Linked DNA regions of Nothobranchius furzeri. The protein of the gene in region 2 purifies or fractionates together with the protein of the main gene of each other region. This does not show direct contact. Links are inferred from orthologs where the notes say so. Each region holds a gene or a part of one and is shown on either strand. Other genes may lie near its edges. The genes, in order: xiap and nod2.

Region 1 (4,272 bases), on a different chromosome or scaffold from region 2:
TTACCATTTTCAGCGCCCAAAAGCCCATTCTGAGGATTTGAGACCTGGAAGCAAAAACAGGTTATTATTTTCCAGCTTGAACAAACCAAATTTACTAATGATTCAGGGCATCACAGTCATTTTCCGAGACCTAAAGAGAAGTACATTTGGTTCCTTATGTTCCATAAAGTTCACTAAAACACACCAAATACAAGTAAAATGATTTAAAACACAATTCCAGCTGATTCAAACCTTTTCATTGTTTATTTTTTATAAATAAAGGGACTTGGGAATCAGATTGACAGGTAAAGTTACAAGCTATGGTTTGTCATATAATCACAATAGCAAGAAAAAAAGAAGGAGATTGCTTACAGCTCTACTTTGTTTGGGTCCATTTAGTTGGATGCTGTTGACAAATTCTACTCCTTTTTCTGCCAACAAGAAGCTGCATCTAATGGGGAAGAAAGTTACAGCAGCATAAATAAAAATGTCTCCATAATGAATTTTTATTGCCAAGAAAAGACAGATGTTTCCTCTAACCCTGGGTAGTATTTGGCGTGTTGTTCCCAGGGGTCTTCCCCAGGCTGCCAACCTTTCAAACTCCCACCACAACTGAAACACATCACCCTATCTCCCATTCCTGTAAGCACAAATCAGATGTGTCAAAACAAAATCAGAACAACGATATAACAGTGACTCATTTTTGTATGAGTTTTGTCCACAGATGACGATGGCGCTGTACCTAAGCTGTAGAAGCCCGCCGTGGCGAGACTCTTGTGGTCAACAGGGAGCTGGAGACCAGCAAAGCTGCCAAGTCTCCCCTCAAAACTCTCCATGGAGACCTGAGAACTGCTCTCCTGAAGCGGCACATTCCCCACATCATGCCCAAGTATGAAGAAGCAGTTTGGATAATGTTTGGAATGTTCACTCCAAGCATTGTCTTCTGGTTCCCAGTCACTCAGCTCGCCACCACAACAGAAACACCGCACTCGGTCAGCATTCATCAAATAAAAGAAACCAGCTTGTGCCAGGTCTCTGGGTCTCATAAGAGAATCAACGGGCCACGAGGAAAAGGTCTGAAGGCGGGCTTCCTCAGACGCCATCTGAGGGGCTTTAGGGTACATGGTGTCGTCAGTCACGGCTCCAGTTAACAAACGATACTCCATGTGTTCTGCAGCCTCGTTGTAGCCATTAGTGAGCGGGTTATGAAAGCTCGGGTTGAAACTGGTTCGGTGGCAGCATTTGAGAAACAAGCACGTTGGAGAAACCTGTACCAGGAAGAGAGATCATTATTTAAACCTCTAAAGCAGAACAAAAAGTCACAATCGTTCAACACTTTGAATCCATGATCTACCTCCTTGTGCCGCTCCACAGGCGTGTCATCGCTGGTCCAGTTCTCCACAGTCTTCTTGCAGCTGAAACAGCGGACGCGGTCTGCGTTGCCGGTGAAGTAGAAGCCTGCTCGTGCCAGTCGTTCAGCTGGAACTTGCTCAGCCAGGATGGAGCGGCGGAAGGAGTTCAGGCGATTGTTGAGCAATGAAAAATCCATAGCACCATCTGATTCCAGATGCTCATTTTCTTCATTATCACACATAATTGAACTAGGACCTTCCTGGATAGATACAGCTACTGAATGTATGAAGTCTGAGGAGAAAGACAAGCAGATTTGAAGGTTAGTCAAAAGTCCTAAATGTACTTGAATTAAAACAACAGGGAGCTGGTTTGAGCATCCAGGCTAAGCCTTTGGGAGAGGCAGCCAGGCTATAATCACATGCTGGTGCTGGATACTCTGTGTGAGGCATGGGAACAGGAAAGGCGGTGCAAAGGGCGTAACCTGATACAATCTACACTAAAGCAGCATTCCTAAATAGATTATACACAACAGTGACAAACACTGATAAAGTATTTGCTGTAATAAGGAGTCACAGTACATGCTGTACACGGGCTAATGACCCAAGATCAAAGCACGCCAGCTAAGAAAGCAGGATGGGGGGAATAGTTTTGCCACCTCTACACTGGCACATGGAAAATGTGTTCTCACAACCCAAATACTCAGAAAGCCCACTACATGGTGGAGGCTTAGTCCTAAAACTGTAACATCTAGTATGATTTTATCTGAGATGCTTTATTGATGAGGATCAGCTTTTGATCTTTGCACTGTTGTTGGCAATCTTTATAAAAAAAAAAAGTAGTCACCATGATCACGAGTGTGTCACAACTTAATGTGTGTTTAACCGTATGACAAACATGCACAATTTACGATACTGCACCATGGTGCCTCCTGGCATAATATAAAGCCACTTCTTTAAATGGCAAATATCTAAAACGAAATACAAATCTGCAGCCTTCTTTTTTAATTACAAATGCATCAATATTGATTTTAAAACTACAAATCCTTCCAAATAAATAAAATATATTTATTATAAATGAAGTTTGGTTTAACTCTGATCTATTCCAGTTCAAATGTCAGAACTGTAGAATCCTGGTAGCCCTTAATGTGGCTCAGTACACATGAAGTAGCTCTCTATGCTGGTGACCCTTGCTTAAACGTGGATGCTCGAGTTACCAAAAGCTAAAAACTAGCCTATATTATTCAAGGACACGCATTTCAATAAGCCTGCATTCTAAAAATAAACACATCAGCTGCTTTGATGTAGGTGCGTAATGTCGAGATAGTGACTTTGGGTTTTGACAGTTTGCTAAAGTGTCAGTTAGCTAGCTTCGTTAGCTTGTTTGCTAATTTGCGCAGTTGCCTAAATCGACCGTAGCCGGAAAACTACGGTATTTACCTTCACGCGCCCCTTTTGGTTCCGGTCTTCAGCTTGTAACTTTAGTCTGTCTTTAGTGTGAACTTGACCTGGAGCAGAATAGGATGATTAAAGAGCTCAGTTTGTTTTATAAAAACTATGAGGAAGCGAAAGCAAAGGGAGGAATCTGGGAACCTAGAACATTTGGCCCCGCCTCTTCAGTCACATGATCAAAGTACGCCCACGTGGGTGTTTCACAGAAACATGCCGTCTACTATCAACTGCCAACATACTTTAGGGTTGCCTAAATATGGTCAGTAACCAGCAAAAAGCGTTCATTTAAAATTTTAATGTAATCCCATCATGCACCTCAAACAATGTCTGAAGGTCATAATCTTATACCTACAATATTAGTGACCATTTTTAATCAGGATTGTTAGGACAGTGGCGGTCATCTCTTGTTTTGAGGGCCTCCATGTTTATCTGAGGTTTATCTGCTCTCTCACCTGATTGTATCAGCAAGTAATTGAAAGGTTACAGAGCTGCTGAAGAGGTGATTCAACCGATGGACCTGGTGTTGGAGCAGAGAAACTCAAGGCACAGGGTAGGGACTGATAATACAACCTGCATCTGTCACCAACAGAAATAAATGCCAGTGAAAGCTAATGGGATACATAAAATAACTATACTCTTTAACAGTCATATATCAACCTGAGATAATTTTCCATATTGGTGATTATGCATGTCAACTTTTTGATTCAAACTAAAAGTTGCCGTAGTAGTCAAATAAAACACGAGCATTGGTCTGCCCCATGCATTTCCAGTAAATCGTTAGGGATTTTTTTAGGGGGTGGGGGTTCACAGGTATTCTTATAATTTAGAATGGAGAAGATACATTTTCTATCTCTGTTATGTTATGATCATCTTCACAGATACATATTTTCTAAGAAAACATAAACAGCATAGTTTGAATGTGCCTCATCAAGTTTAGCTTAGCTGTAACTTTACTCAGAAACTACCTGTGGTATAACAATAACTTCATAAACGATCACTTGGTATTCTAAAACCCACTCCAGTCAGGTTTTTGTTGAATCATCATTATTATGATGTTAGGTATGATCAGTCCACTTTTTCCGACAGGTGTGAACCAGCTGATTTTAGAGTTGGTTTGCATACGGCTGCTTTGAAAAGGGGTAATCTGTGTGAAAATGGCATGTTTTGTCTTTAGGTTTGGACCTTACAGGTCAGAGTTGTGTGGAAAGAACATTTTTCATTGTCAGGCATGCCAACATCTAATGCTTAAATTCAGAACGCCTGTTGCTCAAAAACTAGCCCAAAGACAATAAATCATGCTTGATTGGAAAGGGTTACTCAAGTTCTGCACTTATGCCTTTTTCATTTGAGTTCTAAATTGGATTATAATAATATAATAATATAATAGGATTGTTTAGAAGATTATTTTCCTTATTGTTTATGCTTGTTAGTGGTTTTAAAGAGGTTCTTAAAACATAGATAATGTTAACATTGGTGGTGCTGAAACTTAAAC
Region 2 (4,461 bases):
AGAGAGAGACTTAGACCCGCTCCCATGTATTTTAGACCTGCATCATTTGATTCACTTTCAACAACAGTTTGATGGATATTTCCAGAAATTAAAGGTAAAAACTACACATTGTCTCTTTAAGATCCTCCTTCTCACATATAAAGCTCTCAATAATCAAGCTCCATCATACATCAGTAACCTGATTGTTCCATATGTTCCTAACACGGGCAACAACCTAATGGAGCGACGGTGGCACAGGAGTTAAGTGCTTGCTCTGTAAATGGAAGGTTGCAGGTTCGAGCCCCGCTCAGTCTGTCGCGGTCGTTGTCTCCTTGGGCAAGACACTTAACCCACCTTGCCTGCTGGTGGTGTTCGGAGGGACCGGTGGCGCCTACGTACAACAGACTCACCTCTGTCAGTGCGCCCCAGGGCAGCTGTGGCTACAATGTAGCTCATCAACACCAGTGTGTGAATGTGTGTGTGAATGGGTGAATAACTGATTGTGTTTTAAAGCACCTTGGGGGGTTCCAGGAATCTAGAAGGTGCTATATCAAATACAGGCCATTTACTATAACAGAGCACTTATATTTTTAATTAAAATATAGCTTTTAAAGGAAATATTGTATCTTCATTCTGCACACCTCTAAACGCCCCGTGGAGGTATTATTAAAACAATGTATAGCTTTTTATGAAATTGCTCCATATTCAACCTTTAATGTACAAACTACTCAAATAAATAAAATAACATAAAAATACAAGTAAAAAACAATTGAGTAAAAAAATAAAGCTAGTGAAAAACTGAGTAAATGTTTGACCACAACGGCTGATTTAATTTATCCACTTTTTAAATCAGATAAATACATGTTTTAAATGATATGTTAACTTATTATTAGATAGTTTTAGGGGCAAAATTGAAGATAAGTAAAATGTAATAACCGCACTTTAAGATGACAAATGAGCCCACAGGGGCGTAGATTTGGCATCCAGCGATGACCAAATTCTCCCCACCATTAGTCTGACTGCCAACGTTAAAAAAAACCAACAAGCCAGAGGAGCAGAAAGGGTTAAAGGACCTACCTCTGTGTTGCACATGGCCAGGATGAGATGTAGGTTTATCAAGTCCCCACAAGCAGATGAGCTCGAGCCTCCTGGTTTGGTTTTTGTTGTGGAACACCGCCATCTAGTGGCTCCAACACCAAGTTACAAGTGGTTTAGATCTGTGTTTTACTTTTGATTTCCCTGAAACACATTAGTGTTGGTTTGTTTAAACATTTTAAACAATATCCTGTCAAATCAAATTCATGAGGATGCTTAAGCTTTATGGTAGTTCAGCCATTGTTTACTTTCTGCTCCACTGGAGCTGCTTGGCAAACAGACCAGGTTTCGGTTTTTAGACGAGGAATGAGGAAGAGGTGGTTGAACGGTCCTTTTGGGTTGATGAGGGCTGGAGAGAAGGCAGTCAGTCGCTTTGTGTTTACAGGTGAGAGCGAGTCTTCTAGTCTGTTGAAGGGGGACACTAGAGGAAATCTGATTTCTGTGCTTTCCTGATGGACTGGTTGGTACCAGATGTGAAGCTGAAGGATTGAAGCATGGGAGCTGATAAGACTGAAGCATGCTTGCTCAGGAGCTGCTGCTGAAACAGCGTTCAGAGGTTCTCCACGCCCTCTGCAGGAGCGGCTCAGCTGAGCACCTGGAAAGGGTTCTGGACGTGCTGCTGGCTCAGGGGGAGCTGGGATGGGAGGACTACCAGAGCATTCAAGTCCCGGGGAGGGCCCTGCACACCAACGCCAGGCAGCTGCTCGACCTGCTTTATACAAAAGGTGAGGAAGCCTGCAGAATCTTCTTCGCTGCTGTCAATCAGGTCTTTCCAGAAGGCCAAAGAGTTGGCCTGTCCTCAGGATGTCCCCCACCTTTAGAGGACAGAGTTCAGAAGACGTCTGCAGAGACAGTTCTAATACAACGGCTGAGTTTGGTCTGCAAGCTTCAGGACTGTGTGGATGGTGCTCTGGAAGCTCTCCTGGAATCAGGTCACTTTTCCTCAGAGGAACGAGATGAGGTCCTGCTGCCTGTTCACACCCCGTCTCAACAGGTAAAAAAGGCATTTGTAAACACATCTCCTCCATTTTGTGCTCTTTTGTCACTTACTGTTTTTGATTGACGGAGGTAGCTGGTGCAGAATACGGTTTCCAAGACGACTGGATTCATATAAGTAGGACATATCGTAATATGACTAAACTCACCTTTGTGCCACCACCTATAAACACTCCAAACCTGAAAGTGCCCGTCCATCTGTCGGGGTTTGGCTTCAGGGAGTATTTGCGAAATATAAACGGTTTGAAAAAGTCCCTGTTTGTGATGTCATAATAAGGGAATCGCTGATTGACGCAGACATCAAAGGTCAAATGTCCATCAGCAGGATACCAGAGAACCAAATTCATGATTCCATCAGTTACAACCAGTCGTCAAGAATCCCCAAAAGGGTTTAAATGTTGTTCTGGGTTCTTATGTTCTTGGATTTCTAGAACAGGTCATGATGTTGGCTTTTTGAGATCTTTTAGCCTTCTTTGTGGTGTCAGGCAGCTTCTTTTGAAGGGATTTGAAAACTTGTTTTGTGAAACATAGTTTCACCCTTATGTCATCATGTCCTTATTTGGGCTGTACCAACTTCCTGTTTAGTCCACTCTAAGATGCTAGTTTGGAGCTTTAGAGCTCTGCGTGGACGAGAACGTCCACATCTCCAGCAGGTCCCTGGGGTTGTTCCATCTGGGTCTGATGGAAATTAGGGTTCTCCCTCTGATCCTGAGCCTGTGGCTTCTTTTTAACATTCATTCTGACCCGTTTTTTTTAGGTATGAAGTGATTTATCTGGAAAGCTTTGGTGTAAAAAGCCATAAACCCGCAGACGGGTCAGACATGTGACTGAAGGATAGAGGAGATTTTAGTACAGCGACTGCTAAATTAGGGTTTTACTTCTGCACATCACCTCGTTTCCTCCACAGCTTCCTGTCTGAAGCTCTAATCGGGTGCGCCGAGCCGTTTCCTGTGCAGTTATCTCCTCTAAAATGTGAATTTAAAAAGTGGAACTGCTGCTTTCGGCCTCGGGTAAATTTGTTCTCGTTCAAACCCAACCAGGCCCGGCGTTTGCTCGATCACGTCGGATCCAAAGGGGAGTCTGCGGCGTCAGCTCTTCTTCAGTTCATCCAGCGAAGACAGGAATCTGGATCCCAGCAGAACCAGAGGGAACTGGAAATCCCTAAAGGTATCGTGTCTTCCGGGTCAAAAGTCTGCCAGTCCACCTCAGCACCAAAATACTCTAAAACTATTAAAGGTATTGGTCCACCAGACCGATATGTTGGTTGATTTGTCCATTGATTCATATTTTATTTATTCTGAAGTGTAGAAATGTACAAATATTAGCTAAAGAGGTTCCTGAACAGCCTCAGTGGGGAGAAATAGGGTTACATGGTGGCACAGGAGTTAAGTGCTCGCCCCGTAATCGGAAGGTTGCAGGTTCGAGTCCCGCTCAGTCTGTCGCTGTCGTTGTGTCCTTGGGCAAGACACTTAACCCACGTTGCCTGCTGGTGGTGGTCGGAGGGACTGGTGGCGCCAGTGCTCGGCAGCCTCGCCTCTGTCAGTGCGCCCCAGGGCAGCTGTGGCTACATTGTAGCTCATCCCCACCAGTGTGTGAATGTGTGTGTGAATGGGTGAATGACTGATTGTGTTGTAAAGCGCCTTGGGGGGTTCCAGGACTCTAGAAGGCGCTATATCAAATACGGGCCATTTACCATTTACCATTTACATCCTACAGCTCTGGTTCTCAGGACCTCGTTGTTCAATGAGTTTGGAAATTAAGGATGATCCAGAACTTTGGTAAACAGGAAAATTATTTTTATTATAATTGATATAATTGATAATTGATAAAGGCTAAATTTAAATATTAATAATAATGCATTGAACTTAAATAGCTCTTTTCTAGACACCCAAAGACGCTTTCACACACTCTCACATTCACACACTGCTAGTGATGGTAAGCTACTTGTAGCCACAGCCGCCCTGGGGAGGTCTGACAGAGGCGAGGCTGCCATTTGGCGCCGTCGGCCCCTCTGACCACCACTAACACAGGCATGTTGGGTGAAGTGTCTTGCCCAAGGACACAACAGCAGGATTCCCCTGGCGGGAGCTGGAATCGAACCCACGACCCTCCGATCATGAGGCAACCCGCTCTACCACCTGAGCTACAGCTGCCCCAAATATTAGCTATTGACTAGTAGAACAGTCCAAGTAGTTGTGTTTTAGTGTTTGACCTATTTAGTCATTGAACCAGATATTTGGGCCCAGAAGTCTTAGGTTCTGCATGAAATGGTTAATTTAACAGAAATATGAATGAATTCCTGCCAGACTGCTGGGTGCGCCAGACCGGCGACGTTTGAAGCCGCTGCTGATGTTTACCTTTAAAAGTAACTGTAACGTGTTGAAAACAGCA

The links.
Region 1: the proteins of nod2 (region 2) and xiap purify together in Homo sapiens (affinity purification with western blotting; 3 studies listed by BioGRID and IntAct, with this or other methods). This does not show direct contact. The link is inferred for Nothobranchius furzeri from reciprocal best matches to the Homo sapiens genes NOD2 and XIAP.

The regions. Positions count from the first base shown.
Region 1 is NC_091741.1:25,549,262-25,553,533, reverse strand, and holds the start of xiap (E3 ubiquitin-protein ligase XIAP), read right to left. Parts: upstream 2,928-4,272; 5' UTR 2,769-2,927; intron 1,624-2,768; 5' UTR 1,574-1,623; coding exon 1,334-1,573; intron 1,248-1,333; coding exon 722-1,247; intron 620-721; coding exon 520-619; intron 431-519; coding exon 352-430; intron 45-351; coding exon 5-44; intron 1-4.
Region 2 is NC_091749.1:70,956,291-70,960,751, forward strand, and holds the start of nod2 (nucleotide-binding oligomerization domain-containing protein 2), read left to right. Parts: upstream 1-1,455; 5' UTR 1,456-1,591; coding exon 1,592-2,068; intron 2,069-3,110; coding exon 3,111-3,237; intron 3,238-4,461. UniProt on the Homo sapiens protein: Pattern recognition receptor (PRR) that detects bacterial peptidoglycan fragments and other danger signals and plays an important role in gastrointestinal immunity.